Linked DNA regions of Drosophila melanogaster. The protein of the gene in region 4 interacts with the protein of the main gene of each other region in a pairwise test. Each region holds a gene or a part of one and is shown on either strand. Other genes may lie near its edges.

Region 1 (8,422 bases), on a different chromosome or scaffold from region 4:
GTAAGTCAAATGTACCCCAAGAACCAAAATGTGCAACTAACCAATTTGCTGGTTATTAAGCACACTAACCATCTATTATATATCATTTGATGATACATGTGCAATTTCCCTTTTGTTTGTCCTATGACCAGGAAAGATTTGCCAGAGCAAGCGCGAGATAGATGAGCTGACTTCCCGCATCAAGTCGGCTAAGACTACCTTGGTGGAGTGGACAGAGGCCATGGAAGACGGAAACAAGGGCTACCAGCTAATCGAAAAGTACTACCTCGATGACCAGCAAAAGGCACGGGAGCTGAACATTAAGCGTCAGCTCTTGCAGGCGGACATCGACAAGCGGCGCAAGCAGGTGGTGCTCCTCTATGACGAGCAAATGACGCTGGAGAAGAATCTGGAGCGAACCGCTTGTCTGTACAGGTCTGCCCACGCGGAACGCCGCCAGATGGTGGAGACGTGGAAGAGCGCCGTGAACCAGATGACCCAGCGAGAGCACGACATTCAGCGCAGCGAGATAGAGTGTGCGGAGCTGGCCCAGAAAGCCCAGCAGACGGCTCAGACCTACAAGGAGTACGACAACCAGCTAACCGAGGTCATCGAGAACAACCGCCAGGTGGAGCTCGCGATCGAGTCCCTCAACGAGGAAAGCTCCGACATGAAAAACCAAATCCAGATCCTGATTGATGCCACATTACTGAAGGAGCGCGAGATCGACGGACTGCGTCGGGAACTGGAGAACCTTTCGAACCGGGTTCACCTGCAGCGCATGGATAACCGTAGTCAGATGAAAAAGCGCGATGAGAAGGCCAAGGAGCTGGAGAACTTCGCTTCGGTGATGGAGAAGGTTAACGCTCGGCTGAAGTCTGTACAGAACAAGGCCCTCAATGCGGAGCAGCGGCTGCAAATTCTGGAGGAGATGATGCAGGCGGAGGAGACGGCTCTGCGAAACCTGGACAAGGAGCAGGAGAAGGTCAACGAGATGTTGTACCGCACCCAGAGGCAGGTCATCGAGCTGCAGGACGAGGAGAAGGTCTTGAAGGTGCAGAACGACTCGCTCAACTCCAACCTGGCAGCGATCAATCGCAATCAGCAGCAGGTCAATAACGAACTCAAGCGGCAGACGGAGATCCATTACAGCCTGTCCTTTAAGTGCTTGGAGGCGGAGCGGCGTCTCGCCGAGATCAAGGGTCTGGCAGATGACCCCGAGGTAGAGGCCACAAACATGGCCCGGCTTAACACTCTGGAGCAGGAGTATGAAAAGTTGCAACGCCTCATCGCCACCACGGAGGCGCAGAATAAGAAGCTAAACTATAACATGAACAACCTGGTCGTCCAGTACAACGCCGACGAGAAGGAGCTCGAAATGGTCAGGTTCAAGATTAAAGAGGCCCAGGTGTACTGCGAGGGCACCGTCAAGAGACTGCGCCAGATTCGATACGAGAATTCCGAGCTCATAGTCGACCTCAACATGGTCAAGATGCGCTGCAGCGACCTAGAGGTTGGCATCGGAGGCTGCGAGCAGGGCACCTACGACCTAGAGCAGCACCGCCTTGCCTTCCGGCGCGCCATCAAAGATCGCACCGTTGAGCTTCGCAGCCAAGAGGATGTGCTCCTCCTCAAGAAGAAGCATCTTAACGAGGAACTAAGCACCCTGCGAGCCGACCTCGGGGAGCGGAAGAAGCAGATTGAGGCGATGAAGGCGCGCTTTGAACTTACCGCCCAATTGCTAGGCAAAAACGAGGACGGCTCCATCATGACCAGCACACAGCTGAAGGTGGTGAGCGCCCAGGAACGGCAGATGCTGGCCGACGAGGGCGATGCCCTCAACAAAAAGGTTCTCAAGGCTGAGAAGGAAGTGGTCGCCCTGGAAAACACACTGCGCCAGTTCGACAAATCGAACGATAACTACCGAAAAACATTCCGATCTGTGGACGAAAACTCAAAGGGTGAGTTATAAATGACCATTCAGAGTGGAAAGGGTTACTAGTATTAGCAACATTGCTCTAATTTTGAATTTTAATAACACTCACAGATACAGATATTGAATAGGAACAAATTAGGTTTTCTGGCTCTATAAAGAATAGATATTCTTGATCAAGATCCATACCTGAGTCGATCTGGCCATTTCCGTCCGTCCGTTCCGACTTTCAGTAACTATAATAGCACATTAAGCGGTCATATTCTAGCCATGTCTACAAGCCGGGTGGCTTAGAATTGTGTAATTCAATGTTAAATTGGTAGATTTTTTCCATACTTCTAATTTCTAGATCGCGAGCGGGCCGAACTGGAGCTGAAGGAACTTGAGGCGGCCTACTGCCGCGAGCTGGAAAAACTGAAGGTTCTCAGGTGCAAGGCACAGCACTACCAGCAGAAGCACGCAGCCCAGCGAGCTGAGGAGGAAGACCTGATTTCCAAAATAGAGAAGGCGAAGGCTAGTCGGGCGGAGCACTCTGCAGTTCTGGAGAAGATCGAGCGCGAACTAGATGACCAGCGAATGAAGCTGGACAGGGCCAATCGAGAGATCCGGACACAGTTGCGGGAGATCAAGGCGCGGCCCTTTAGCGAGGAGTACCTGGCGCAGTTCGAGCGGGATCTGTCTCTACAGGAGCTGGAGGCGCGTAACACCAAGGCGCTGAACATGATCACCGATCTGGCGAACAGCGACGAGAGCGGCACGGATATAATTGGAATCCTCTTGCGAAAAGGAATCAAGTTGCCGATGCACCTGAAGCGCACGTGCAGCCGCGTGTCCTGGAACAGCAGCTCCTCGGGCAAGTCCTCGCAGGGTCAGGACACCGCCTCCTACCTCAATGTTAAGGGCAAGAAGTTCTCCTGCGACGGGGCTAGTGCCCGGTCCTCCGTCTCCGACATGAGCTCCCTTAAGGATGACACATCCTCCACAACCTCCCACTCCGGACTGAGCATCATATCGCTTGAGTTGCCCTTGCCGAAGAAAAAATAATAGTCTAAAATATATTTATTTATTATTCCGTTCGATATCCGATGATCTCAACCCGTATGCTCGTATCTTCACGTGTTGGCATCGCAGTGTTTACAAATTGACCATCTAAACGAAACAGCGAATAAAATGCGTTGCCCAAGCGGGTCAAAACAAGAGAGCATCGCGGCCATAAAAATAGCACACAGCGATTCAGTGGGGGTATAGCTCGGTGCACATACACATAGGCGGACAAATGTGTGTGTCTAGGCGATTGCTTGTTTAAATCGCTGAATAGTAAATACTCTACAAAAGTATTACACAAAATATGTATATTAGCTACCACCTTTGGTGTGGGTTTTGTATTGGTTTTGATCAGATCTCAAGTAAGCTCATTACAGCATTAAGATTTAGACGGATATGCTAATTCAATCTGAAATACTCAATCTTCGTATTTTCCTAATAAAGAAATATATATAATAATAATATTTTCTCAGTTCTTATTTACGAAAATGAAACGAATGATTTTCACTGGTCCGAAACTAAAATCGAAAGAAGAAATCTCCAATAAGAGTACATATTAATGTGTTTACTTTTTATGGAGTGCTTAAAAAATGGAGCGACAATTGCAGTAACCAACCATATTCCAATTGGATATTGGCGGAAAAGCCAATTATTAAACCAATCTGGCGATAATGATAGATCTCTAGATAAGTCCCGCAAATCGCATGTGGTCATCTCAGCGAATTGCTCCTGCGCATCGTGCGTTACAAAGACTAGAACGAAGGCTATATGGCCGCCAGTGCAACATATATCGGCCAGAAATAATTCTACATACATATAGTATATAGCCGTGCTCAGAGCTATATTTCGAAATGAGCTACCCAGAGACACGGAGAAAAGAGACTGCCTTGTTCGAGAGATGGGATTTCGGTGCTGCGAGTGTTTCCGAAAGTCTTCTTGACGATTCGACGATCCGCGCCGGGCATTTCATTATTTTTCATTATTTCGTTAGCTGGCATCGGTGCCGAGAAGTCAGATTGCTGGGCCCAAAGTTTTCAAAAATCTTCACTTGCTGATATTTTTAGAAAATTTTGAAAGCAGAAAGACTAGGCAGTCTGGGAATGGACTCCTGAATAGATGATCACAGACCGAACAGGAGGATAATCCCAATAGGAGGTGAAGCATTTGCATAAGATTCGATTGAGTGCACTGGCGAAATGTGTTCCACCTCGGTGCTGTGTCCGCTCTGCGCGGTGCCCAGTTTCGGCAGTATTGACGCACTGCAGCAGAGGCTGATCAAGGCGGCCAACGGCCCACTGGCCTGTCCCTTTGCCAACTGCAAGGAGCTCTTCCTGGGGCTGGACAAGCTCACCATCCACCTGTTCTCGCACACAAGTCTGATGGCTCAGGAGGGAAACGAGAGTCCAGCGAATGGCCAACCCGCCTCGTCCCGGGGCTTCCTTGCCGCAGCTCCTCCCAAACGGAGGGCCAAGCGAACCAGGTCCAAGCCCGTCGTCCCAACCCCACCGCCTGTGCGGACCACCCCGCCCGCCCACTGCGACATTTGCGAGTTCAGTTTCCGGAATACCGAGCTGAGGGACATGCACGTCCGCTTAGTCCACGAAAATGCGGAGGGAGAACCCAAGCAAAAGGAACCCCAACAGAAGGAACCGGTAACTATTGGCTATGTACATATATTAAGTGCTATTATCTAAAGAGTTTCGTAATGCACTTTCGCATATTCTTATATCGATTTTGATTTTTTTTTTCTATGCTCACTGGCAGCAAAAAAAAATCATACTTAAAAAGCTAGACCATTTACATTGAATCTGAAACAAAAGTTTGACGTAATTAAAATCAACAACAACAAGAAAGAAATCTATATACCCTTATATTTTAAAAACAACTGATGTATGTACGTATATCGTTCCCATTATTTTCAATTAATTTTTCAACTGTTCATATGACTATGTATATATATGATAGATATTAATTTGTTTTTGATCAATTTAAAACCATGGCAACTTTGTGATATAGTGAATGAAAGTGAATGATTTTTGTGCATAAATTTGAAACTGAGAGACAGACGGTAATGTAATGGAATATTTGGCCATGAGGGCATATTGATGAATTGATAAATATAAGTGAAATTCCGATTATTGCTTTATACAGGACCAGGAGCCCTACAAGTGCCATCTCTGCTCCAAGACGTTCCGAATGAAGGGCTCCCTTCGAATCCACCTGAAAGTAGTGCACATGATGGGCGTGCCCTGCTCCAATCCCAATCCAAATCCTAATCCCAGTCCTACACCCGCTTCTACCACCAGTGCAGTTACTGCCACGCCCAAGCTGAGCATTTGCGATCGCATTCGACACACAGAGCCTGGAGCCCTTGGCAACGGAAATAACTCCACGTGCACCGCATCCCAGCCATACGCGCTGAGTGGGGCGCTGAGCATGCTCCAGCAGTCCCCCAGTTCGCCGGAGTCGGGCACGGCCACCCCGAAGCTGTGGGAGTGCGATGTGTGCAGCAAGTCCTTCACCACCAAGTACTTTCTGAAGAAGCACAAGCGGCTCCACACCGGCGAGATGCCGTACACATGCGAGATCTGCGCCAGGACCTTCACCTTCCAGCAGTCGTACCACAAGCATTTGCTCTACCACAGCGAGGTAAAGCCCCATGTCTGCGGGGTTTGTGGACGCGCCTTCAAGGAACTGTCTACGCTGCATAACCACCAGAGGATTCACAGCGGCGAAAAGCCCTTCAAGTGCGAAGTCTGCGGTGAGTATCGATCAAACCCCTTAATTAGCCGCCCCTTATTTTGTTAGCCAGCTTATAAATGAGCATACTCCATTGCGATTTGCCCTATTTACTTTAAATGAAGGAGAGGTATACCTTCTTTTCCGGGTCACTCCATGTCTAACCTTTTCGTATTTCGGACTCGTCCACAGGCAAGTGTTTCCGGCAGCGAGTCTCTTTCCTTGTCCACACGCGCATCCACACGGGAGTGATGCCCTACAAGTGCGAGCTCTGCCAAAAGACGTTCAGGTACAAGGTCAGTCAAAGGACCCATCGATGTCCCACCGAGGAGGCCCAGACACCGGAGCAGCTGATAAAGGCGTTCCTGGAGGGCAACGACTCGCATACTCAGCCTTCACCAGCGAGCGCCGAAATAGCTGCCATCAACAGCAGCTCCATTGTGGATCCTGAGCAGGAGGCACTGCTTTCGCAGTCAATCGACGACATTGTCGTTGAGCAGTGCCAAAAGCTGGGCATCTGTGGTGTGGAGCCGCGGGAGGAGGGACAGCTCATATCCCTACAGCCGGTTGCGGTGGTACACTTCAGCGGGAATGGCTCTCCGCTGCAGCAACTCCAGAACTTGAGAATCTACTCACCGCAACAAACAGAGCTACCTAGTTCCGATGGCGAAGTCTTCCAGCGCTTTTTGATGGACGCCACGTAGTTGGAACGAAGATGCATATATCCACTTAATTTATACCCTTTTATATCATTTTACATTGTTTGCACTTCCCCAAAGGCGATCTAATCAATTCCTAAGCACCCCCTAAGAAAAACGTCTTAATTACATCTTCTTATGAGGATATTATTTGAATCTTAGTTGTTTTATCTCAGCCAAGTGTAAATCGACTAGGACCCGACTTGTTTGCAATACAACAACAACATCTAATATAAATTATGTTAAACTGCCGATTTTATTTAAAACTATTCTGGGCAACGAACCCGAGCGCTGAGTTGAGGCGAAAATGATATTAAATCGAGTTAGTTCAGTTTTCAAATGTACTTGGTTGATTATAAACTTATTTATTATGAACGCCGTTTTTTGTAATTAATCATTCATCTGAGGCGCTTCCAGAGCTGGATCCTGAACCAGAAGGCGAGCCACTGCGAGACCGGCTGGGCGATCGCGACCCAGAGCCAGATCTGGAGCCCGAACGTGATCGGGAACCGGACTTGGATCTCGACCTAGAACGCGACCGAGAGCCGGACTTGGAACGGGATCGGGAACGTGATACCGATCTCGATCTGGATCCGGATTTCTGGGATCCTGCCGGCGAATTTGTGCGTGATCTGGAGCCGCTACCAGACCGAGAACCAGACTTTGAGCGGCTGCTGGCCCGAGAGCCGGAGCCAGATCCAGATCCTGAACTGGACCCGCTGCGAGTTCGACTCCGAGAACGAGACTGTCGATCGCGGGCTACCTGGGCGGGTGAGTCCGCTCCAGATGCTGCCTGTGCGCCAACAGCTGCGTCCTCGCTCGTCTTCTCCGTCTCGCCAATGATTTGCATTTGCTCCTCTTCCCTCACTTCTTCCACGATCTCCTCCTCCTCGCCAGGAACTTCTAGCTGGCGCTCGCGATAGCGCTGCATACGATGCTCCATGCTGTCCAATGGACGATGCTTGACAACCTGGTAGAAATAATACAAAGTAAAGCTCGCTATAGATGTATGCGCATAAATATACTTACCAGCTTGGTGTTGTTGGGTTGCTGGCCAACCTTAACGCGACGCTTGTTAAGGCGCACACGGGTTTCTAGCTCGTTGTAGTAGATGCCGTCCTGACGCATCACGAAGAAGTAGTTTTCTTCGTAGCCCTTGGAAGCTTTGGTCTTCACGTTCCAGTTGTACTCTCGAGCGATCTTGTACTCGTACTCCTCCTCCTCCTTGTACAGCTCGCCATTGATGAAGTCTGTACGGCGTTTCTCCAGCGTCTGCTCTGTGGGCAGGAAGTAGGCGACAAACTGTTCGCCGCTCTCGTCCATCACACCACGAATCATGGCCTGCGACATCTCCTCCAGCTGGGCGGGCACGTTCTTGCCCGCAGGAGCGGGATCACTGTCAAATATGACCTGGGCGCACGGGAACTTCCAGTTGGTGAAGTCGGGGAAGATAGGCAGTACCTCCACTGGCACCACATTGGGCTTGGAATAGTGCTTGGTAATTTCGCTCTTGGTGTCGCTGAAGGTCTTCTCGATGGCTTTGATCTGGGCTTCGCGGTCCAGGTAGAGAGTCTCCTCCCGAAGCGACTTCTTGACGTTGTAACCGACCTTGGCCTCGATGTTCTCCAGGTTCTGGGGCTGGAAGCGCGTCTGCTCGGTGGAGATGTACTCGGATTTGCGCAACCATGACACCGTCCTCGAATGCTGGCGCGAACGCACAGAGTCTGTGGGCGTCAGAGTCTCCTCCTCCAGCAGTTTTTCATCGGCGGGGTCCAGCAGCGTCATGGAGTCGGCCTGATAGAGCTCCCGGTTAATCAGGTCCACCGTGACACCCAAATCGTGTTCCGTCAGCACGTCATACTTGAAGTTACGCTCTAGCGACGTTGGGTTGTACTGCACGAAGCGGTGGCTGTCGAAGGGGTACTGCAGAAACTTCAGATCAAATGGTATATCCGGCAGGTTGTTTCCATACTTCACGCGGCAAATGATCTCGGATCTGCAAGGTACACATCAGTCTGAGTATCTGGCG
Region 2 (7,420 bases), on a different chromosome or scaffold from region 4:
GCCGCGGCGTGGAATTTTGATTGCGGTTTGCAAATTTCCAGCGCTCCAGACCAGGAATTCAGCTAACGGGCCTCACACGCAGCATGCTTTTGGCCAAAAGCGGAAGGTAATGAAAAATTTCATTTTTTCAACTTCCCCCTCCCCCCTCTTACACGAAACCATGGTCACTTTGCCGCACATTAGAACTGTTGATATTTATTTAAAAACCTGGCCAGCGTTGACATTCAAGTCAATCGAAAAGTTTGCACAAAACGCGAGGCGGTGTCCTCGGTCACCTGAGTCAACAGCAAAGCGGAGTGACTCTCTCCATTTAGCAAAAATCAAAAAAAAAAAAAACAGGCAATGAAATGCTGCCAGTTACTTTTGCCAAGGAATTCCAAAAAAGTTCCATGAACCAGTAAATAAATGGGGAAGCAACGTAGCACTGAAAAAAAAGTGTAGTAAAGATTTTATAACTATATTTACAAGGCAAAGGTTCTTCATAAAAAGAAAACTTTTGTAAATGCAAAAAAGCATTGTAGAGTAAAAAACTTTTTTTTTTAATAATTTACCTCAACTTTCTAAAATTTAAATACTGTTTACCTAACTGAACTATCTGCATATCAAATGGCCTATAATTTGATTAATCAAACACTATAGTTACCCTAAAATGCTTTTTAGCCAGCTTTGATTGGCATATTTCATAAATTCATATGCATATATAAATATCTCCATAAAAAATGCAATAACGAAAAAGGGTAAAAAAAAAATGCGCATTTCAAATTATAAATTCAAATTCGAAGAATTTAATCACGTATACGAATTTTTCCTGTGCCACAATACGAAATAATAAAAGTGCCTCAAAAACTTTGAGCCCCTGCCCCGCGAAACCAGGACCGCAAATTGTTTAAAACAAGCATTGAACAAAAAACTCAAGAAGCAACACAAACAGGCGGCTCAATTCCAGGAATAAAGCCGAAGGACATTGAATAAACTGTACGGTGAGGAGGTATGAGTGGGATGTGGGGACGGTAGGGCAATGGGGGACGACACTTGGCATTAGGGCCCAAACTATACAGCCAAGGCCAAGTTTTGGGCCAAATCTTTGTGGGGAGTGGACCAACAAACGAGGACGGAACGACCATCGGCATCGACGGCCGAAAGGCAATGGAACCGTAAATTCTATTGCATGACTTGATTAAATTCGCATGCAACGATGACCGTCGACCCCGAGTCACCCACAACATCGGAGTCCGCCGTATCCGCCGAAGCCTCTGAGTCCCCCATTAAAAAAAAAAAAACCCACCTCCGAGCGGGTCAAGCAAAGGCCAGCGACGTTGCCAACTATGCCATAGCTGGAATTTCTTGGCTATTTGCTGGCTGCCTTGGCTTCTGTTTTTGCTGGCTGCTGGATTTTTGCCTTTCCTTCGACCGTTTTCTCATTTTAACGTTTTAACGTGACTTAATGAAGTTTCAGTGTCACAGCAAAATCTGCTCCTGCTGCTCCTGCTGCTCCTCTCCGCCTGTTAATTTTATGATGGATTTTATGCAGAGCGCGCCAAAGAAAACTTTGAACTTTAATAAGTATGTGTATGCAGGCATTTAACTTTGCCATCGTTTTGTCGATTTTTTCTACTCACTTTTTTTTATTTTCTGTTCTTTTTTTTTTTAGTAGATTTTTTTCTTTACACATTTTGGCCATGTTAAGCTGGGTGGCTAGCTGGCTGGCTTCTTTTCTATGGGAACTTTGCTAAAATATGCTTCACAGGGCTTGAAAGCATTTGAAGTAATGAAAAAGAAGCGAAAAAAATTGCATCCAACAAGTATAACACACACACTCTCGTTCCAGGTGATATGGATGGGGAGGTTTAACTGTACAGTGAAGCTGCGCAAAATTTAACGAAGCTTAACCTCATTCAATGTGAAAATACACTTTACTTGTACTTTGCGCTGTTATTTCAAAAGTGCGGTGACGGTGGGCGTTGCTGCTAACGCCGCTCTAAGGGGGCGTGGCTAAGGTGGGTCTATATATATACAAATATATATATATATATGTATATAGAGAAAGGTGGCGATGCGAACCTGGTGAACTTTGCAAACTTAAATGCAGAGCAGAATGATGAATGATCCAAGGATGCCAGGCTAGCAACGAAAAGAACTCGCTCTATCTCCGTTTTTCGCCGACTTTCCCTTGATTTCCCGCCAGAGGCAACTACTCGCAGAGAAAATCACAAATATAAGATTAAAATCGGAAAATAACACTACAATACTTTAAACGAACTACGAATGGCAGAAAACACAAAAATGGTAACTAAGGTATAATATATCTATGTATCACATATTAAATGTATCTTCAATTCTACAAACCTGAATATAGAAATATTATAATCTTATATCAACTATTTTGCTGAGTGCACTATAAAATCGCTGAGAATGCTATTCCCGCAAAGGTTCTTTAAAATTGAATCACTTTAGACCCAAAGTGCATTGTCAGCTTTGAGTGAGTGAAGGCGTGGCTGGTAAATTATGCAAGAGCAACGATACCAAATGTCGTCGAATGCATCCAGATGAAAATTGAAAGTGCTGCAATCCGAGATCTCAGACGCGTTTCAAATCTCCGGCGATTGCACTTGGCAAAGACCGGACCGCAAGCACATGAAGCGCACGTCACCATTTGTGCAATCAAACATCGGAATGGCCGCGACATTGACCGCAAGCTGCCACACAGTGTGAAATCCGATGCGGCTGGGAGCCAACCGGTGCACAGTGGTTACAGCTATGTTGAAAATTATCAAATATTATGCTAGCTTAAAAAGGAAGCAATATTTATGCACTCAAAACAAAACTTACTTAATTTAATAACTTCATTTTTACCATTTTTATCACATCCACAATAGATTTTCTTTTTTAATTTTTGAGCCCTATTAGACCACAGTGCATAGGTCGATGTGCATTGCGGGCTAGCAATTGCGGTATAGCTGCGTATTTTGTGATTGCGAATTGTGCGGACAGCGGATCGCCGCCTCACTTGCATCTGAAAGGAACAACCAGAAAGGGACTATCTGGAACAGTTGGTGTGTGCCGCCGAGTGAAAGTGAGTGCCTGGGCATGGGCTTCCACTTACACAATCCATGGTGGATTGGCCAATGAACTTGAAGTGCCAACGAGGATATCCAATTACAAGTAGAGCGCTCCAAGCATTTGAAGAGTGTGTGTGTGCTATAAAAACAGCATCGCGATGTCACAAATTTGCATTTCAAAGCGGAGCAACACCCACGCCAGCTGCATCCAAACACGCACTCCGTTGGCGGATTGGAACAAAGGATATAGGACACAGGAGTTCAGGATTTCAGGACACACACAACCACCCAACGTTATGGGGCGGCCAAAATCCGGCCAAGGCTTTGGGTCACCTGCCACCAGTTCATTAATGATCTATGCATTAATGTGGCTCGCTTTGGCCATGACAATGGAGGCCATAGATGCCCCACTGCCCCTATCCCTGGCGGAGTACCCGCTCGGCCTGTCGCTGGAACATGGCAGCAAACACCATTACCAGGATGCGGGTGTGGACTCGTTGCCGGGATTAACAGGATATACGCGAAATTATTATGGCCCCACTGACACTGCAGCCGGCGATGACTTGGCAACATATGGAAATTATGCTCACAAACTCCTGGCCGCCACCCATCAACAGCACCATCGCCATTCGCAATCCTCCCTTGGCACCACGGCCAATGGCTTTGTGCCCTTCTACTACAACAGCAAACTGCACTCGCCATTCACCGCGGATGAGGAGCCGCGTCGCGACCCATCCGCCAATATCGATTTTGTCATTAATACGGCAAATTATGAGCCAAATTCCGCTGGCTACGATGTGGAGCCACATCATGGGGAGCAGCACTACGAAAGCTATGCATATCGGCCGCGGGTGCAGTTTGCCACATCGCTACCCGGTCCCAGCGATTACCATTTCGAACAAATTTCCAATTACCGGGAGAATCGCCAGCGGGAGCAGGAGGTGGAGCAACATCAGCAGCAGCAGCACCAGGAGCAGGAGGATATTACTAGTATCTATGCGCGGCTCAAAGAACTCCAGACACCGGCCAATCCAGTTAAGCGTCAGCAGGAAGAGTCCCTATCGAGTCATCATCCAAACCGGGAGCAAAGCCAGCCACTGGAGCAGCGACATTATCAGCAACCTGAAAGCAGACAGCTGCAACAGCCACACTTGCAACAACATCTGCAACAAAAGCGGCCACATGCGCTGCAATATCCTCAGGATCAACGGCATCACCAGCGCCTGGGAGTTGCCCAGGACCAGCAGATGTTGTACTCTCACAAGGATAGCCAGATTGCAGATCTCCCAGCCATAACCACCAGTGTGCACCATACTCCGGAGAGCAGTAAAGCGGTAGCCGGATTGCCGTTGGCCAAGCACATCGAGATCACTAAGAGTGTGCCCATCACCCACTATCAGAAGCAGCATGTGCCCTTCAAGCAGAACGTCCAGGTGCAAGTGCCACGAACCGTGATCGCAGCCATACCCAAGCCCATGCCCATCAAAATACCAGTGGCCCAAACGGTGGCCGTGCCCCAGATGCAAGAGGTTAAGATTCCCATCGAACGGGTGAAGCCGGTGCCCGTGGAGCGGCCCATTCCCTTTGTGGTTGAGCGCAGGGTACCCTACCGAGTGGAGAAGCCGGTGGTCTCGCCAGTTTATTATCCGTATCCGGTCAAAGTGCCAGTGGTGCGCACGGTGGTGCACAAGCAGCGCCCCCACTACGTGGCACCCGGCTGGAGTGCCAACGGCAATCATCTGCTGGGATGAGTCTATCTTAAGAATAAATTCTTAAGCCAGTTTTATACCCTTGCAAAAGGGGTTTTTTGATTTGTAAAGTAAAAGTACAAACTGTAGGGTAGTCGATAAATATATTTTTGGTGGAATGTTCTTAAGTTGAATTAAATACATTTATTAATTTTTCATGTTATGCAGTTTGATTAACGGCTAGAGTATTTCAAATTCAGCTTATGCCTTAATTTCTAGTGACTGAACCCCAAAAAGTAATTGCAATTAGCAAAACAAGAAGACAAAAAAGGCCACCGACAGCAACTGCAGTGTGGCTGCAAAAGCATCCAGCATGCAACTCCTTGATCCCAAATCCAAGTTTCTAACTCCCAGTTAACAGCTACCAAACAAAACAACACATTCGGAGTCGAAGTTGAAGTTGGAGTCACAGGGCAGGTCCCAAACCGAAATGAAGAAAAGTAGCCGAGTAAAACTTTTTAATTGAGCTAAAATCCAACAAATGCGGCTAATAAATATGTATTGAAGTGCGATGGGCAGAACGAGGCTGAAGTCCGGTTGCAATGCAAAAGGGGGCTGCAGCGAAAGTGCAAGAAAATGCAGCGGCTAATTGCCAAATGTAACTCCAGTTGAAACAACTTTTAACTGAAACAGCAGAAGGAGCAACAATGACGCACAAATAAACGCGACGTTCAACTTCGCCGAGGCGTTAACGAAACAGCAACAAAATTAGCCAAAAAGTAAAGTTCCAGCAAGGGTCGCGAAAAGTCGGGCCAGTAGTTTCTGGTTGGGGAAAGTGCTGCAAGTTATTGCCGGCTAATGAAATTAGCCCTAATTGACGTGGGAGCCATTCGACTCCATTTTTAGGGAGGCGAAGTGAGGAAGAACTCCGCACCCACCACACACAATATATGTAATATTCGGCAGCAAAGGAGAATTTAAGGAAAATGTTTGGGGAAAAATGAGTTCAAAGATTTGGGGTTTAAAGCGCTTTGACTACTTACTTAATACTCATTACTCAGCCACCTAGCGGTAGACCAACAAACCTAAGCTTACTGAGTCCTTCTTTTTCTTGGGAAAATTAAACGTTGGAAAATAGTTGCATTACTTTTCTAGCTGTGTACTAAATTTTGTAAATTCAATTCGTTGCAGGCCACATTATTAGCATTTATAAGCCACATACCTATGCTGAGGAAAACCGCAAAGCGACGGAAACCAACTAAAAATCAAATATAATAAGCATGCGTGCAAATCAACGCTTTTCCGTGAATCCCGCTGCTACACATGTAGTTGTGCAGTGGGTATGCAAATAGTAAATGGCGCTTGCAGCCGAATAAATGTGCATAAATTCATAATTGCACTGCCCACATTAACCGCTTCGTTAGGAATTTTGCTCATCTGACCACTGGCCACCACAGCCGGCGGCCGTTGGTCCCGTTTTCTGGCCACCGTAGCCCAAATCCAGTGTCTAACGTCCGACATCCAGGACTTCCCACTTCGCAGGCCAATGACAAAAGCCACAAAACGCAATGAACATGGCGCTCCGGTTAGATAGTTGACCGCGAATCTGCTGATGAGTCCCTCGTTTGTGCACATGTACCCTTTAACCCCGTAGCCGTTTAAACCCATAACCCTTTAACCCTGCCGCTGACATATACACATGCACATGCCAGATCAACAAATTGAATGCGATTGGGTGACAAACGACTGGGTAAAATCACCGGTTTCGATTGTTATAACACCATAGGCCAGTGGTCAGTGCATAGTGATTGCATTTTATAAATATTTCATTTCACTATAATATACTCCTAAAGCTCAGAACACAATGGAAATAAAATCCAACCAAAGTAAATATATTTCTTTGAATTCGGTTTTTTGTAAAGCCCCAATTAAGCTCTCAGCATTGAATGTATGACGCAAATATAATCACATGATACATCGAGATGACAGAACCAAAAAACCGAAAGCTCTTAAATCAGCGCCACACTTTGGTCCCTCCGAATTTCTCGAAAAGGGCAGCAAAATGACTTTATAATTTCGAAAATGACTCTGCACTTTCGAGCAGGTAACGTAGCAAAAGGGGGCTAAGAGCAGCACGACGACAAAGATAAACATTAAAAATTAATCAGCACTTTTGGCTCAAACTTTGATAATTGCCGGGTGGCCAAAATGAAGCCAAGAGCGTAAACAGCTACAAAAACGCTCCACACAGCATTAAATGGTCAGAAAAACGAGGGCGCCAGACGGGGAGTCCTTTTGAAAAATGACAGGCAACCGACCATCAGTTAGCGCGGAAAAAGCAAAGTTTTAACCCTTTTGTGCGGGCCACCTCTGTATACCCATTTTGGCCAAAAGTTCTGTATACATTTTTGTTTGTGAAATTGATGTGCATCATAAAAATTTGCGACTCAGGTGGCAAGTTGTTACTTTTGATGTGCAATGCGGCGGACTTAAGGCGTCTTTCTTGATCATTTTAATTGAGGGCCCCCAAAATATGTTTCGTAGATACAAAAGAGTTAAAAGTGACAGTGTACAGCGGGGCGTATGAGTGATATTTCATGTACGCCACTTAATGGACGCTTGGCACCTTAAACTCACTATCCGTTTGGCTCGTAAAGCAGAAATGCCTGGGTA
Region 3 (7,814 bases), on a different chromosome or scaffold from region 4:
ATTTACTCAGCTTGACTTCCTACAATGTGTAATCGAATTATGGAAATCACTTAATAAAATGCAATAATATTTAAAGGAAGTAATTCTTGTACAATATTTATGCATTGGTTCCGGTTGTACATAATGTATATTTCAATTTATTGATTAAATGAAAAGACTACGTATATTTGGCTGTTTGAGATTATATTTTTGAACATCTATTTTACAGACTATTGCAATTCGGGGCTAAATGTAAACGATATTAATTAGTTGTGGAACTGTCGCTGTTTTGATGTTTTGGCGCAACCAATTTGGGCGCGGATGGATCCATAAGATGGACACTTTTTGGCTTGGAACCAGGACTTTGCCAGCAGTTCTTGTACCATGCAGTTTGCTGATGTCTCAATCCAATCCCAGTCGCAATCCTGGCCAATGATTGATACAAACTGCGAGAGAGGACATTTAGAAATCCACCAAATCTATGAGATGGAATCGAATCTGGGAGTACAAAATTTTTCAAAGGACTTGAGCTTGATGGGATACAATTCTGCTGACTCGTGATTGTGGTATTATCCCCTTCATCATCATCTTCATCATCACATAGATCATCGGTATCCGCATCGTAACCCTTTTCGGAATGACTAGGACTACGATATTGGACACTAAAGCAAATGGGATTTGGACCCAGAGTTTCAGCTGAGATCCTATTGATTTGTACGTTTTTTAAATATTTTTGTGAACAACTTGGCTCACTGTCGGAACTTGTCGAACTTGAAAATCTTCTTGATAGAGGTAAAGTCTTAGGATAGAATGTAATCCTAGGTTTACGTTCCCTTACAGCTGGTTTGTGCATTTTTCAGAGTTTTAGATGTGATATGACCAAAGTTTCCGGTTTATGCTCTATTATTTTGAAATTTTGACAGTTCTTGGTTGACCTACTCGACTTAAACAAAAGATGATTGTTCAGCAAGAAATATATACATACATATATTGATGTTAGCTACAATTTGTAAAAGGTTTTCCTTATTGAAAACTTCAAAGCAACATATTTTCCCTATATTATGTATCCGGAAATAATATTTTTTTGTGTGTACCCTCCTAAGTGACTGCCTGTAATGGCCTGTCGTAAAATACAAGATAATAAAGCTGCTGTATTTAGCATGTCGAAATAGGAAACACCCGCTTTGAAAAAATAACATGTTTAAATTAAGCTAAGAAAATGTACAAATAAGCGACGAAATGTTTTTTCGTATGCTCAGTATTCAGTTGGTGTTAAGAAATATATATATATATTATATGGTAAATAAAAACCTTGAATATATATTTTACCTTCATTCATTCATAAAACATCGAGCCTCTTAGTTCTTGCAAAAATCTATATCTCTTTTTGAACATATTTTTCAAATGTAACAAAATGCGAAAAAAAACTTGTTTTTCGCTTTAATCAGGAATGAGATCTCTTAACTGTTTTTCGATCGGCAAATATTACCACATCTAAAACATTGTCTATGCAAATTTTTCATAGTGAACGAGTTGCTTTGTCATGATGATCGAAGTCAACGCAATTAATCGACACCAACAAAACAAAAGAATGGAAAAAAAACCCATAAGACGCGTTTTATGGTTAAGTTAAGAACATTTTATGGCCAGCAAATTTTCTCAAATTCTGCCAGTCATTCGGCAGAATGTCAAGCTATCAGCTGTATCAACAGGGAAATTCGATTCATATTAAATTTAATAACTAGAGAGAAATCCTTCAGTTAAATGCTTTGGCATCCTATTTTGCCGCCATCGAATGCCATAAACTACAGCCAGTGAGTGTCAAAAAGTCACTAAAGACATGGTCGAGGCCCCAAATAAACGAATTGTCAGTCAGTGCAAAGAGCAGCTTGGCCAAAATCGGCAGTTGCCAACTATGAAAACTCGGTCAAAGACAACGAGTTTGCTTAAATTCTTGACTTTATGCGAACAGAAACACACATTTTGTTGCTGTATCTCAGCCAGCACAATACCTATCGATAGTAAGAGTCACAGCAGCATTAATTGCCGTTAGCTGGATGCACTGGCCAAAAAAAAAAACCACCACTACCTTCTTAAATGGCAACTCGAATACAGAGCTCACAAATATTGCAGAAAAATGAAGAAGACTAATCGATATGTTGATTACTTTCATATTTTTCAATAGCTTAAGAATTATAAGTTTTAATTTGTTTGAATTCACAAGAATTGTTTGCACTGCATATAATCGAATGGCAGCACAACGAACTTGAAGCCCGCGAATCGCAGACGAATTGCGAAATTGGAAGCCGCAATGCTTTTTTAGCCTTGACTCCAAAGTGTCCAGCGTATCGGCTCATTTGGGCTTGAATGTCAACGGAGATTGGTTCTGGGATGCCCTTCAGATGGTTTTGTCGAGGGTTCTTAACACTTACGAACCTCATTTGTATGCCGATCGTGTGCTCCTGCGATGATGATGATGATATACTCCCTGTGCAAACGGAATATCTGGGCGATGTCCTTCGGCAAAACATATACCATCAGAACGACGCCATTTGGGGCGGAGAACACATCAAAAAAAAAGCATTAAGCACCATTTTAATTTATTTTTATTTTGTATACATTTTTTTTTGTTTTTTTACTCTTTTTAGTATGTCATACGGTTGCGGTCGACTGGCCAAGTTTACGTTGCCAAGTAAGCCACCAAGTTTCCAAGCCGGGGGCGTATGGAGTATCTTGGAATTTTTCACAGCGTCTGCCAAACTGCCAATCGACTCTCGTGGGCTCTCCCATTCTAAGCTCACGAATATTCACATGCAAGCGGAAATAATTATAAAAATTACTTACTAAACACAAAGCTTTGCTTCAAAGAAACCAAAAAAAATAAAAAAAAAATACAAAAAAAAAAAAAACGAGCCCCATGCATAAAAACAAACATTACATGCCTCCGAATCCATTCACCATTTACTAGTAAGCAAGTACAATTAGAAGCGACTACTGATCGTTTGCCCAGTGATTATTTGGAAACAAATCAATAAATTAACAAATAAATAGTTTAGATGAGTTAATTACCATTTGCCAATTACCATAAACCTTTTAGTAATACTCTTGCCATTCTTGGTGTCTTGAGTTTATAATGTTGGGTTTATTTCGTAAATGAAATCCTATTGGCATATTTGCTTTTCAAATTTACGTTTTCCACTTTTGTCATGGTATATTTATGGCTATATTTCATGGTTCTATTTATATCATTTAAACACTGCCATTACACTTGGCAACCGCAATATTTCGTAAAATTTTCCATTTACATATTTCTTATAATATTATTGCTATACCGGATATAACTTCATACCCATATGGTTTTGCAAGCAATTAAAGTTCAAGATATTCTGTTATTCCCCCTATGAATCCTATAATAATCAGTAGCTCTGATGTAATAATTATACCAGTCACTATTTTATCGTCACCTCCAAGTTCTAATTTCGTTGTTATTTTCCCTTAGCCACAACGCATCGAAATGATTATTAGATCAGACCCCGTTATTAAGCGTTTTCTATATTCAGCACACAATTTAGAATATACGATACCCCGCGAATCATTTCATTTGTGCATTCGCACTGCATTTTGGCTGGAATGTTAACGATCATTGGATCGATCGATCGATCAATTGTACAATTGTTCTTCCACACATACTCTAAGTTTCCACTGTTGTTGGAAAATATACAAAATAAGTCTCGAACTAGACTTATAGTTCGGACCAAAAGCCGTAATTGTCAACAGTGCAGGGCCCCCATGAGTTTTGTAGTTGCATTTACCCCCAGCCTCTAGGTTTTAGTTCTGCTCTTAGAACTCAACGTTCCAGTCGATCGCGGCAGTCGAGTGAGTCTGGCTGCAAGGTGATGAAGCTCCATGATGACTTCGCCACGAAATCACATCGGAACCCTTCTTGTCGTCTGGCTACTGGAGTTCTCAATGGTGATTAGCCAGACTGACACGGGCAATGCATTGATGGATATGCTCGAGATCTATCGTCGCGGTCAGGCGCAATTGGATCTGGAGAATCTGGACGAGGGTCAGGTCATAACGACGAAATATGATTTCATAGTGGTTGGTGCCGGCACAGCTGGTTGTGCCCTAGCCGCGCGACTCTCCGAGAATCCCCGGTGGCGAGTGCTACTCCTGGAGGCCGGTGGTCCCGAGAACTATGCCATGGACATACCAATTGTGGCGCATCTCTTGCAGCTGGGCGAAATCAACTGGAAGTACAAAACGGAGCCATCGAATAGCTATTGCCTGGCCATGAACAACAATCGCTGCAATTGGCCCAGGGGCAAGGTGATGGGTGGCAGCTCGGTGCTCAACTATATGATGTACACCAGGGGCAATCGCCGCGACTACGATCGCTGGGCACGTTTGGGCAATCCGGGCTGGAGTTACGAGGAGGTACTACCCTATTTCAAGAAGTACGAGGGCAGCGTAGTGCCGGATGCCGATGAGAATCTGGTGGGACGCAATGGGCCGGTGAAGGTGAGCTACTCGGAGACGAGGACTCGCATCGCAGACGCCTTTGTGGGAGCCACCCAAGATGCAGGATTGCCGCGAGGTGACTACAATGGAGATAAACAGATTCGTGTGTCCTATCTGCAGGCGAATATCTACAATGAGACCCGTTGGAGCTCCAATCGAGCGTATCTGTATCCCATTAAGGGAAAGCGTCGAAATCTTCATGTGAAGAAGAATGCCTTGGTTACCAAGATCTTGATTGATCCGCAGACGAAATCGGCATTTGGTATAATCGTCAAAATGGATGGCAAAATGCAAAAGATTTTGGCCAGAAAAGAGGTCATTCTATCGGCGGGTGCCATCAATACACCCCAGCTACTGATGCTCTCCGGCGTGGGACCCGCTAAACATTTGCGGGAGATGGGCATAAAGCCACTGGCCGATCTGGCCGTTGGCTACAACCTCCAGGATCACATAGCTCCGGCTATCAGCTTCTTGTGCAATGTGAGTTCGCTGCAAACGAGCGAGATGTTCCGCTCGGAGGCAATGTCAGATTTCCTGAAGGGACGCGGAGTGCTCCGCATACCGGGTGGTGTGGAGGCCATATCATTCTACGCCCTGGACGATGCACGTAATCCCGATGCTTGGGCCGATATGGAACTCTTTGTGGTGGGCGGTGGTTTGCAAACGAATTTGGCCCTACGTCTGGCATTGGGCATCCAATCGAATATCTATGAGACCATGTTTGGCGAACTGGAACGCCAGAGTGCCAATGGCTTTTTGATATTCCCGATGATTTTGCGCGCCAAGAGTCGCGGTCGCATCAAGCTGAAGAGCCGAAATCCCGAGGAGCATCCACGGATCTATGCCAACTACTTCGCAAATCCCTATGACATGAACATCACAGTTCGCGGCATCGAGCAGGCAGTAAGTTTACTGGATATGCCCGCATTTAAGGCAATCGGTGCACACTTATTAGAAAAGAGAATACCCAATTGTGCGAAATATAAATGGAAGAGCAGCGCCTATTGGGCATGTTATGCACGACACTTTACCTTCACCATTTACCACTATTCAGGAACCGCCAAGATGGGTCCTCGATCGGATCCCTCGGCGGTGGTGGATGCCCGACTGCGGGTCCATGGCATCGACAAACTGCGCGTTGTGGATGCAAGCATTATGCCCTATTTGATCTCGGGTCATCCCAATGGACCCGTCTACCTAATAGCTGAAAAAGCAGCCGATATGATTAAGGAGGATCATAACTTCGTATAGAGCAAGCACACTATGTTTTCTTAAGCCGATGGGTTATCTTAAGATATGTATATAATATTATTCCATTGAGTGATTTCTAGTGAATTAAAGACGATACAATACAGTACAAACTCTGATAGTTTGTTCTATCAGTTCTTCTATGTTCAAAGTTTTTAAATATCAATAAAAGAAAAATTCAAATTAAGAAAAGGGTAATAGATAAATGAGAACTTTGTTGTCAATTTGTCGCCATTAAAAAGAAATTACAATAACATTGATTTATGATTCTTTCGATGATATTTCAATTTGTTTGCAAATTATACAAAATTACACAGAGAAACAGCAAATCAATTAGAAATTATTGCTGGTTTGTCATCAATCTTAAATGAAGCCTAAAAGTAATGAAAGATTCGATTATTTCCTGCATTTAAACCTAAATTTTACAGGTGTAATAGGTGTACAATAACAACTAGTCTATAAAAAGATTATTTTACTATATTTTCGTTGGCATAAATAATAAATATTTTTGATAAGCATGCTGCTTAATATAAAAAGCTGAAGTAACCGATAGACATTTAGAACTATAAAATTCTATATTATGTACATAATTATATAAGATCTGGTTTGACATTTAGCCAGAGACATCGGCGACAGGTTCATCGAAGAACCCCGCCCGAATTCTTCTGCTAAAAAGAAGAATCACGCAGAATCACGATGACACTATGCTAATTACAGTAGTCCAAAATCAATCGATGAGGATCTTTTAACCAGCGGTTTTCTAGCCATGGGAGGCCCTTTAATGTTTTGACACCACGGCTTCCGCATCTTATTCACAGTTGCTAACGATCTCGTCGATCTGGCTGGCTTAAGTCAATGTCAAAAACTACAGATACATTTTCAGTTTCCAATTCAGATTCAGATCGTCCGAGCTTTCAATTTTAAACCGATCTTCGTCTTTGTGTTTGTCTGCGCAGATGGTTGTGAACGTGTCCATAGTCAAGTCTTCCGAAAGATTTGAAGATTCTTGGCGAGCCGAAGAAACCGAAAAACCCGAAAACTAAAAACCGAGTGCCGAGAGATTCGCAAAGCGATCGTTTCGTTCGCCGATCGCCGCCGAATTTAATATTAAATTGAACTTGGCCACCGCATTTGTCAGCATTTCTAGTTACGTATTCGATTGGGCAACACGCTCGCGATCGCGTCGATCACAAGAACTCAGAACGCGTTCGTCTATCATATCCAGCTATATTCATATATATATATTTTTTTTTTGACTGTGCAATCGGTGTGAATAGTGCTGAAGAAATCGTTACAAGTAACTAAAGGCCCAATAATGGCAAGCAAATCGCTGATATTTGTAGGCCTGTGCCTGGCATATATGGCCACATGGAGTCAAATTTCTGCCCAGAATAACAATAACGTCCTTTTCGAGACGATCAACTTTCTGAGACGCGGCCAGGCGGACGTTGAGCTGGAGAACTATGACAACAATGTGATACTGGATAGCGAGTATGATTTTATAGTTGTCGGCGCCGGAACGGCTGGTTGTGCCCTGGCCGCCCGACTCTCAGAGAATCCGCAGTGGCGAGTGCTGCTCCTGGAGGCCGGTGGTCCCGAGCGACTCGTCATGGATGTGCCAATTGTGGCGCATTTTCTGCAACTGGGCGAGATGAACTGGAAATACAGGACACAGCCATCTGATCACGCCTGCCTGGCGATGAACAACAATCGGTGCAATTGGCCCAGGGGCAAGGTGATGGGTGGTAGCTCGGTGCTCAACTATATGATGTACACCAGGGGCAATCGCCGCGATTACGATCGCTGGGAGGCCCTGGGTAACCCGGGTTGGAGCTTCAAGGATGTGCTGCCGTATTTCAAGAAATACGAGGGCAGCAGTGTGCCCGATGCTGAGGAGGATTATGTTGGTCGCAATGGACCGGTGAAGGTCAGCTATGTGAACTGGCGTTCCAAGATCGCCGAAGCCTTTGTCGATGCTGCCCAGCAGGATGGTCTGAAGTACAGGGACTACAATGGACGCATTCAGAATGGTGTGGCCTTCCTGCACACCACCACCAGGAATT
Region 4 (8,886 bases):
CAAAATTAAGCTGTACCTAAAAATATATCTATGTAGCTGAGTATATAATTATATTTTAATATGAATATGTACGACAATAAATTTAGTAAGTTGACAACCAAATTACTATTGCCTTTCTATCTGAATTTGATTTGTTAAGATTGATTTATTCCTTGATTCTTCGATTTTCCATATTGGTCATCACTGACGGAACCAGCAATCGAACTGCGCGGAACCAGTTCACCGACAACAGAGTTGCACAACAGTTCAGCAGCGGCAAAGTAAAAATTACATTTTGTTAATTAAACTGCTTTTATAATGCTGCGAGCGGGATGCCAGCTGCTGACGCAGTCCACCCTGCCCACCGGGAAGACGGTCGGAAATAGTTTCGCCCTCGAGTTCGTCCGCTGGCGCAGGAAACCGCGATGGCTGCCGGTGGCCAAGAGCAAGATGTTCCGCGTGCCTGAACGCAAGAAGCAGTCGGAGGAGGAGCGCACGGAGCTCATGAGGCTACACAACCAGTACAAGTGCGTGCACCAGCGCCAGATTCTGTCTCTGGTCAAAGATAATTTGTAATCGGTTTCAAAAGACGTTATACAAAACAATCTACGCCTTGATTTCAGAACGCAGCTTCGCTCAGTGCGTCAGTTTCTAAGGGAGGAAGTCGTCCGCCACGAGGAAACATCCACAGCAGATCACATCGTGCTCACTCCCGAGCAGGAGGAGGCCGAGTTCCAGAAATGCCTGGATGCCAATGCTGCCTGGAACGCTGCCATAGCCAAGGAGCGTGATCAGCGATTGGCCAAGAAGCGTGAGGAAAAGGTGGCCTATATTCAGGAGCGATTGGAGGCACAACAGCTGCGCGAGGAGGAGCGCAAGGAGCAGGCCAACCAGCGGGTGCTGCTCGAGATTGAGCGTTCCAAGAACTATATCACTAGGGAAAACTTGGATGCAGCCATTGAGACAGCGTTGGCCAATCCCGTGGACCACAATTTCGCCATCGATATGGCCGGTAATCTTTACCACGGACGAAGCACCTCTCAGCTCCCGGACGCCACTCCCGAACCCAACCAGCAAGTTTTGAGTAATTAATTAATGCAGTGTCTTAGTTTGTTGTTACATTAAAATGCTTTTTATAGGTTTCTAACCAAAGTTGAAAGTCCGTGTTTTTTTTTATTTTTCTGCACAATAAACAACACACTTAAGTATATTTGATTTGCGCAAAAGAATAGGAATTGGATAACCTAGCTATTGTAAAGCGATTTGCTAGAACTAGAATACTTTTCAAATTTTAAGACCGTATTTGAAATTATAATAATCACTTAATTTGAACATATAATATATCAACAATCCATTAACCTAAAAATTAATCTTGGGTCATTGCATTAAGTATTGATGGCTTAATTTACGTTACATATCCCCAAGTTCCAAGCCCATCTTTCTTGGAGTCTCTTTTATGTTCCATATTCGAGTACAATTGTTAATAACCTTTTGAAAAGCATTTGTATTATAAAAATTTCTATATTTAACTTTTATATACGGCATTTAGAATAGGAATAACTTAAGCTTAGGCGCAGCCTATTTACTATATTACATATCTACCATGGGGAAGTGGGTGCTACGTGCCCGGTACTGGATTCGTTCGCTTGGATGCCGCATCCTGCTGCTGGAAAAGGTGCACCCAATCTGGAGTGGCCTTTAGTTTGGCTTGAATGGGTCCCAAGTTGATCATGTTTCCACTACGTTGCTCGCGATTGGCGGTTACAGACATGAGTTCCTGCAGAAAACCCGGATCGAGACCCATATCCAAGTCAAAGCGTGTGTCCCCCAATTGGAGTTTAACGCGACCGGATTTGTACCTCAGAATCTTGCCGATCTGCCCTTCTTCCAGCTGCCGTAGTACACTGCCCTTGGGTCCGTTTGAGCATTTGTCTGCAGGACTTGCTGGTTCCGATTCACTGGTGGCCTGATGATCTCCTTTAGACGGTTCCGGATCTTCGGAATCGTCGCCCACACATGGCAACACATCTGGCAGTTGCATGAGAAAGATCTGCGCTTCGCTGGAGTCCAGAAAGTTACCAATGGTGCGTGGGTAGCGACCGTACTGCAGCGGAGGTTCCTCTAAACTGGCTGCCTGGGCAGCCACATGCAGCTGTTGCAAATGCTGGGCCACTGCCAAAGTGTCTAGGAGCGAAATCAAATTAGATTATGCCATTTTTAAAGCTTAGCGCCTTACCCTTAAGTGTTGAGGTTGAACTGGCGATTTCTTGCTTCGCAATCGGTGTCTTCTGGGTGACCCAGAGTCCTAACGTTTATAAACAAATAAAGCATGAATTTCTTCTGCCCGTGTGCATCAAAAAGTGCTTGTAAAACGTACCCTCTTTTAGCAGGATGGGCCTGAGTGCCATCTCAGTCTTGTTAGCCTCCTCTTCGCTGAGCTCGCCGCCACTGGCGTCCGACTCGCCCAAGAGCTCCTTGATCCGCTCGGCCTGGCTCTTGTCGTCCTTGCGATCCACCCGTTTCCTGGTCACGGACACCTCCTCACCGCCCCGTGCATATGCCGTTCCATTTCCTGTGGACCTTCGCACATGAACATCGCCTGCTCCTTCGGAGAAGAGTCCCTGGGTTTGGATGAGCGTGGAGTTGCCCCCGCCAGCGGAATTTCCACCTCGACCACGTGTTGCTCCAGTGCCGTTGCCACGTCCACCTCTGCGGCCGCTCCTTGGCTGCGTGGTGTCCTTGGATGTCTTGACATTGCTGTGAATCAAATGAGATGATGAAAAGAATGACTCCCCCTGGGCCATTCCACAACTCACGCATTTTTATTGCGCACAGCATTCAAATTGGGAGCAAAGACCTTTTTGCTGGCTGTCCCAGCGCCGCGCCCACCAAGGGTCAAGTCGCGGGCGGGGGTCAGCCTGGTCATTCCGTTTAGCGTCTCCAGTGGGCGTGCACCGCCACCAGACTGACCATTATTCGTGGTGGACCCACTGGCTCCACTGATGGTCGAAGCTGCTGCTGTGGTGACCGTCATCCTCTTCGCTGGCATGGCGTTCCATTCGCGCCGCCCGTCACCTCGAAAATTCGACCGAAGTCGCTGGGTTCTGGTTTCCCCGTAAGTCCTTTAGTTTTGGGCTAGAATTTCCGCAGAATTCTTTGATTTTCCTTTGAGGTTAATGGGAAAGCTGAGTCGATACACCACATGCCGATACACCGCAGTCGATAGACTTGAGTGTAGCCAGATGACTTTGGTTTTGCTCAATATTAATCGGATTTTGAAACTGTGATTGTAGCGGGTTTCTATCGGCGCTTAAAAAAAACCAGCATAATAACAAAGAGCGATATTACAAAACTGGCTTTTTGTTGCAGTAAATCCTAATGTAGTATTTTTCTATGCAACATGGATTCGAAACATAATCTCTATTTTGGTTGGGCAAATCCATCGTTGCGATCAAATCCATCTGGCAACGCTAGTTGAGCTCTACATTTTATAAACAAAGCAAACCGGCAAAATAATCTACGACTTTCCATGGCCAAAAAGTAACGAAATATAGCGGAAACTGGAGGAACCATGGCCAAGCGCTTTTCTGCCATGAAAGACTTCGCGCGGTGCAAGAAACCGCGCCTGGATGTTAGCGTTACCCGCGGATCAGCGCGACCCAGTCCACCGAGGAACAATTTCGATGGGATTCTCTGGGACGACGATGACGATGTCATCCTGATGGCCACCCAGCTGGCGGAGGCGGAAATCGAGGCGGAGGAGCGGAAAAAGAAGGGCGGAACAGAGGTGGACATCGGCAACAGCGAGGTCACCTTCAGCGAATTTGCACCCACTTTTCAGGGCTCAACCAGCACACAGCAAATGTTTCCGCCGCCACCGCCGCCACAAAAGAAGCCTACTTCCCTGGATATGGATGCGATTTTCGCGGATGATGATGATTTCGATTTTCTGGCCGTTACCCTCATGGACAGTGAGCCACAAAAGATGCCGGAGCCGAAGACCAGCACAAGTAGGATAACTACCAGCAGCATAAGTGTTCAGCAGAAAACCACGACCACGACGACCATCAATGCCACGCAATCCCGCCAGCAGGAGCATCAGCTAAAGTTTCTCATGGATAGGATTGAAGCCCTTAAGCGGGAAAACGCGCAGCTGGAAAAGAATTTGGGCGACAGTAAGGAACGCAATGAGATCAAGTCTGGTGAGGTAGGTGGACATCGGGGTGGAACTATAACACCGATTCTAGACCTTACAGAAACTAATCCATTTATATTTATTTCTCTAGGTTTCCTTACTTCGTGATGAGCTGAAGCACTTGCGCCAGCAGCTGCAGGCTAGCAAAATGGAAAAGCTGGCTTTGGCCGACGAAACGAATCGGGATTGCAACAAAAAAGTGGCAGAAGCGGCCAAACAAATTGCGGCCAAGGACATCGAGTTGAAGATTAAGAACGCCGAGTTCTCAAAGTTGAAGACACAGCAAAAAGCCCATGAAAGAAGCATGAATTCCAGCATGAGCATTTTACAGGCTGCTCCAGATCCTTTGGAGAAACGCTTATCACTTCGCTTGAATAGGCTTAACATACACAGATCTGTGCCCGGGCTGAAAACCGATAATGGCAGTGTGTTCGAATACAGCGAAAATGAGGATCAGACTAAGAAACGAAGAAATCATTTTGAACTGGAATTAAAGCAACTGCTACTTCATTACGCTCGGCTGCAGGCAAAGCCGGAATCTGTGGATAACCTCCTGCCAAGAATACTCTCGTCGGTCGGCAAGGTATTCACGGAGTTTGCTTCGTATGCTCAAAGTTTGGACTTTCCACACAACTGCATGCTGTATCCCTACAATCCCCACAACCTAGAGGAGGAAGTTCATCGCATTTCCCTGACCCATCAGAGCTGTTTGTATGATAACGAAAAGGCTGTTCCGCTGCGTCGCTTCATAGCTACCTTGGCTTTGATTTGCCGGCGAGAGGAAAGGATTTCTAGAGGTCTCACGGAGTGGAAAGAAAATGATCTGGGACTGCTAGATATGGCTATTGAAGCTATCACAAAACTAGGATTTTCCTACGAGGTCGGCCAACACTTTGGATTGCTGGAAGCCTTGACTTCACTCCTAAATAGCCTCCTACAAGAAAATGCCCTTCTTCAACATAACGAGGAGCTACTCTTCGATCTGCTTAAGCAGTTAGTTTTTACTCGTCCCAGTCCTTGGGTTTTTGCTGAGCTTAGCTCCTGCTTTTTAAGCTGCCTTAGACATCCCCAACTTATGGATAAAATGTGTGTGAATAGTCCCAAGGACTGCTTTGTATCGGATCGCGTTCGCTCCGTTTATCGATTTGGTCCCGACTCCTGTTTACTTCAGGTCTACGCGGGCCTACTCGAGCTATGCTTCTTTAGTGAAACTCCTCTGCGGCAGGACTACTTTCAGTTGCTGCTCAAGATCGGAGGAAATCATGTGCGATTCGCGTTCGAGTGCTTCAAAAACCCACCGGATTTCATACTTGAAATGCTGCCTTACTTTGCCGACGATGGCGACGAGGACTCCAGCGATGGTACTCTGATGAAAACAGGCACCAGTCTGAGCTTCAACTCCACAGGAGCTGTGCAGGGATCGGTCTCCAATGGATCGACATCAGCGTCTGTTTCGAACCCGAATCAAAATTCAAATTCAAGTACAACGCAGCGAGGAAAAGGCTGCGAGTGCTATGTAAAGTTGTGCCTCAGTGCGGTAACAATTGTCTTCCAGGTGATGCACCAATGGATGTTGCACAGCAGGAAAGCAGGTGCGTTTGAGCTAAAAAAAAATCATTTTCATATGATCAATGACACGAATCAATATTTGTGCTTTCTATTTAGGCACCGAAGAAGTTGGCGAGATCTCCCGCATCGCAGTGCACCTTCTGTCCCTTGTCTTTCACGAGTATTACCTCACCTGTCTGTTTCGCGACTCCGAGGAGACGACCAAGCATTACCTTAGCCTCATATGCAACTGGTGGAGCGAGCATGCGAACCTGCTTGGTTTTCAGTCAATACATTGTAAATGACCTAACAACATTCCATATTTTCCGTTGCTAACTTTTTAAATATTTTCCTGTCATTTAGTGCGTTTGTTAAACCAACTGGTTAAAGCCCATTTCATGCTGAAACCCCTTCATCTGGAGGCCAAGCCCAATAATCCAGTCAACGACCTCTCCGAATGGAAACGCATTGTCAAGAATGCGGATGACCAAAGGGCTGTGAAGTCGGCTGTGACAGTTGATCCCAGCAAATTACTCAACACCGACTTCTTTAGTGCCCTTAAACGGGAGGAGAACACTTTTGAGTAGTTATAGTTAGCTTAAACGTTTTAGTAATATATACATATAGGTGTGGCGTTAATTTATTGTGAAGTTTCAAATGCTATGTTAAGAATTGAAAAGGCTCGCTGCACAAATTTAGAGCTTAAAAAACGCATTCCAAAATACAAATATGTAATGCAGCGTTTAAAGAAACCGCTAAATAATCGATTTTTCATTTCGATATCAATTTACGAATCGATAATACAAAATATTTGTTGGTGGTTCAGCTTATCGTTTCGAAGGAACTTGATAAAACAGCTGATATGGCTCAATTTAACCAGTTCAGTTTGCATGGAACTAGTTTGTAAGCGCGATGCTTTTCTTAATTTTGTAAATATTTAGATGTTTTTCAGCATTTACATTTTAAACCCGTGCTTATTGTGTATAAAATAATGTATTCTGATTAAAAGTTCAACGTGCACTTATGGTGCTTACTGCAATAAGCGTGATTCAATGCAAATGCTTATATTTGTTGATTTAATAAACATTCGCAAAGGTGGGTTCAAATAAACAAATACTTCCTTCTCACAATAATAAGAAAGTATCATTGTAATATGATCATAGAACAAAACATCTAAGAACTTTTGTTTTTTTCGTTTCACATGCATATATTTTTAACATGCATTTCTGTATACATATATATATATGTATATATGTATATATGTATATAAATATATATATGTATGTATGTAAGATGTATGATGTATGATATACGTATGTATTATGATCCTTCCCCAATGTAATCAGAAATCATTCCTTCATATGATTATACCTGTACTCGCATATACAGAATATTAAATACATCTCTTTTTACCAGTTAAACGATTATTAAACTAAACTCTTATTTATTTATTTAGCCGTTTATTTATCTTAAATGATATTTATTTCCTTATCGTTATTTTCTTTTCATTATCTTTACTATATCATCTAAAGACTGCTTAATATAGTGAGGCATATTTTAAGGAATTCATTTGTAGAAGAGCCGAAAATTGCTGAGCCTGAAATGTAATCCTCAAAATTTTTCCGTGAGGCAATCTTATCTTTATCATCTTCAACTCAAGAATATCATCACGTTGCTCTTAGCATATCTATGAAGATTTTCCAATTATCTTAACAATGTCCCCGTGTGCAAAGTTTAATTTCGACAAACTTAACCGATGGCCACTCAATGGCTCCACTTAACTAATTTTTATAAATTATAATTTTATCAAGTGGTTCAGTTAAGCCGCCGACAATTCCGCTTTGTTTGGGGTGTGCTTACCAGAACACTTTATTATTTAATTCCGCAAAACGGATATTCTCTAGATCTACACGTAGAAAAGTTTCTTCATCAGATTAATTTTATTTTTATAAAATTATATTTTTAGAATTTTTTTCTTGTAAAATTGCGAATTTAAAAATTCTAAGACTATTTTACAACATCCAAAACGTTATCTGTTTTCTTCACAAAGGGGTTAAATTGCGTTTTAAATCGAAAAACCTAAGCGTATTTACAGCGTAAATTATGTATTACATGTGACTATTAAATAAGTGAATGAAACCATTTCACCAATGTTGAAATGTACAAGATGTGAAGAATCTGAAGTGAAAAGTAAATTGTTTTCTGTGCTGATCATGCGTGCAGTGATAACCGCAAAGCTTCCAGATATACTTTTTGTAATTCAGAGATAATTTCGTAACTAGTGCACCATACATGGGCTCAGTCGGTTGGCGAGGTCTCATCTGAAAAGTCGTATAACTATGGAGCGGGAAATTTACAGTGCGGAATACTTCGAGAGAGCTTTGGCGAGAGCTTATGGTTGTGAAATGCTTCGCGTTGAGAACTTTCACATCAAGGCGGTGAGCCAGAAGGGCGAGAACTTTTGCAGCGTCATCTACCGGGTGGCGTTGGTCTTTCGCAGGTCACCCGATGGCGCTCTCGAATCAGGAAAATATATTCTCAAGGATCTGCTGCCCGCCGCCGCTGCACTGGGCACCAACGAAAAGGATATGTTCGAGGTACTCCTGCCTGCCATGCAAGCCATTCTTGAAGAAGCTCCAAAGGAGATTGGCGAACACAAGCTGAGCGCAGAGTTAGTTTGTCAGCTTTCCCAAAAACTCTGGAAAATCCGATTGACATGTACTCTTTTTATTTAAGTTGCTTGCTAGTCGAGATATCTGCTGGAAAAGAGCTCTACATTCTGGAGGATCTGGGCGCCCTAGGATACGAATCCTTTGATCGTCGTCAAGGCTTAAATCTGGAAGAAGCCAAAATTTGCGTAAGGAAACTGGCTCAGTTCCACGGTGCATCCAAGGTTTTGTACGAGAAGAAACCCGAATTGATTCAAAGGCTTTCGCCTTCTCACTATGCCAATGGATTGAACGATCGCTTCGCCCAGGCTCTCGTCTTGGAGGGCGCCGAATATGCCGCAGAAGCGTTTGCCGAAGAACTTCCGGAAATATCAAAGAAAATGAAGGCTCAAATACCGAAAGCATATACGAAAAGAATGCGAGATGTCGTTGATCCAAACAAGTCATCATTGAATGCAGTTATTCATGGTGATCCCTGGTTAAATAACATTATGT

The links.
Region 1: the proteins of mus304 (region 4) and CG14655 interact in a two-hybrid assay, tested with the Drosophila melanogaster proteins (one large-scale study listed by BioGRID).
Region 2: the proteins of mus304 (region 4) and CG13840 interact in a two-hybrid assay, tested with the Drosophila melanogaster proteins (one large-scale study listed by BioGRID).
Region 3: the proteins of mus304 (region 4) and CG9519 interact in a two-hybrid assay, tested with the Drosophila melanogaster proteins (one large-scale study listed by BioGRID).

Annotation. Positions count from the first base shown.
Region 1 is NT_033777.3:4,775,805-4,784,226, reverse strand, and holds CG14655 (uncharacterized protein), read left to right. Parts: upstream 1-3,924; 5' UTR 3,925-4,152; coding exon 4,153-4,608; intron 4,609-5,107; coding exon 5,108-5,717; intron 5,718-5,887; coding exon 5,888-6,399; 3' UTR 6,400-6,730; downstream 6,731-8,422. Other genes in the region: Ccdc39 (Coiled-coil domain containing protein 39), read left to right, coding at 132-1,940, 2,262-2,956; atms (antimeros), read right to left, coding at 6,788-7,363, 7,423-8,389.
Region 2 is NT_033777.3:22,812,027-22,819,446, reverse strand, and holds CG13840 (uncharacterized protein), read left to right. Parts: upstream 1-3,268; 5' UTR 3,269-3,409; coding exon 3,410-4,810; 3' UTR 4,811-4,964; downstream 4,965-7,420.
Region 3 is NC_004354.4:14,852,375-14,860,188, reverse strand, and holds CG9519 (uncharacterized protein), read left to right. Parts: upstream 1-3,827; 5' UTR 3,828-3,885; coding exon 3,886-5,754; 3' UTR 5,755-5,861; downstream 5,862-7,814. Other genes in the region: CG46399 (uncharacterized protein), read right to left, coding at 242-832; CG9521 (uncharacterized protein), read left to right, coding at 7,067-7,814.
Region 4 is NT_037436.4:18,106,365-18,115,250, forward strand, and holds mus304 (mutagen-sensitive 304), read left to right. Parts: upstream 1-3,449; 5' UTR 3,450-3,550; coding exon 3,551-4,186; intron 4,187-4,265; coding exon 4,266-5,766; intron 5,767-5,839; coding exon 5,840-6,019; intron 6,020-6,085; coding exon 6,086-6,309; 3' UTR 6,310-6,483; downstream 6,484-8,886. Other genes in the region: mRpS26 (mitochondrial ribosomal protein S26), read left to right, coding at 298-506, 603-1,071; Polr3D (RNA polymerase III subunit D), read right to left, coding at 1,598-2,163, 2,216-2,284, 2,357-2,736, 2,796-3,028; CG32195 (uncharacterized protein), read left to right, coding at 8,062-8,393, 8,459-8,886. UniProt on the Drosophila melanogaster protein: DNA damage checkpoint protein required for chromosome break repair and for genomic stability during development.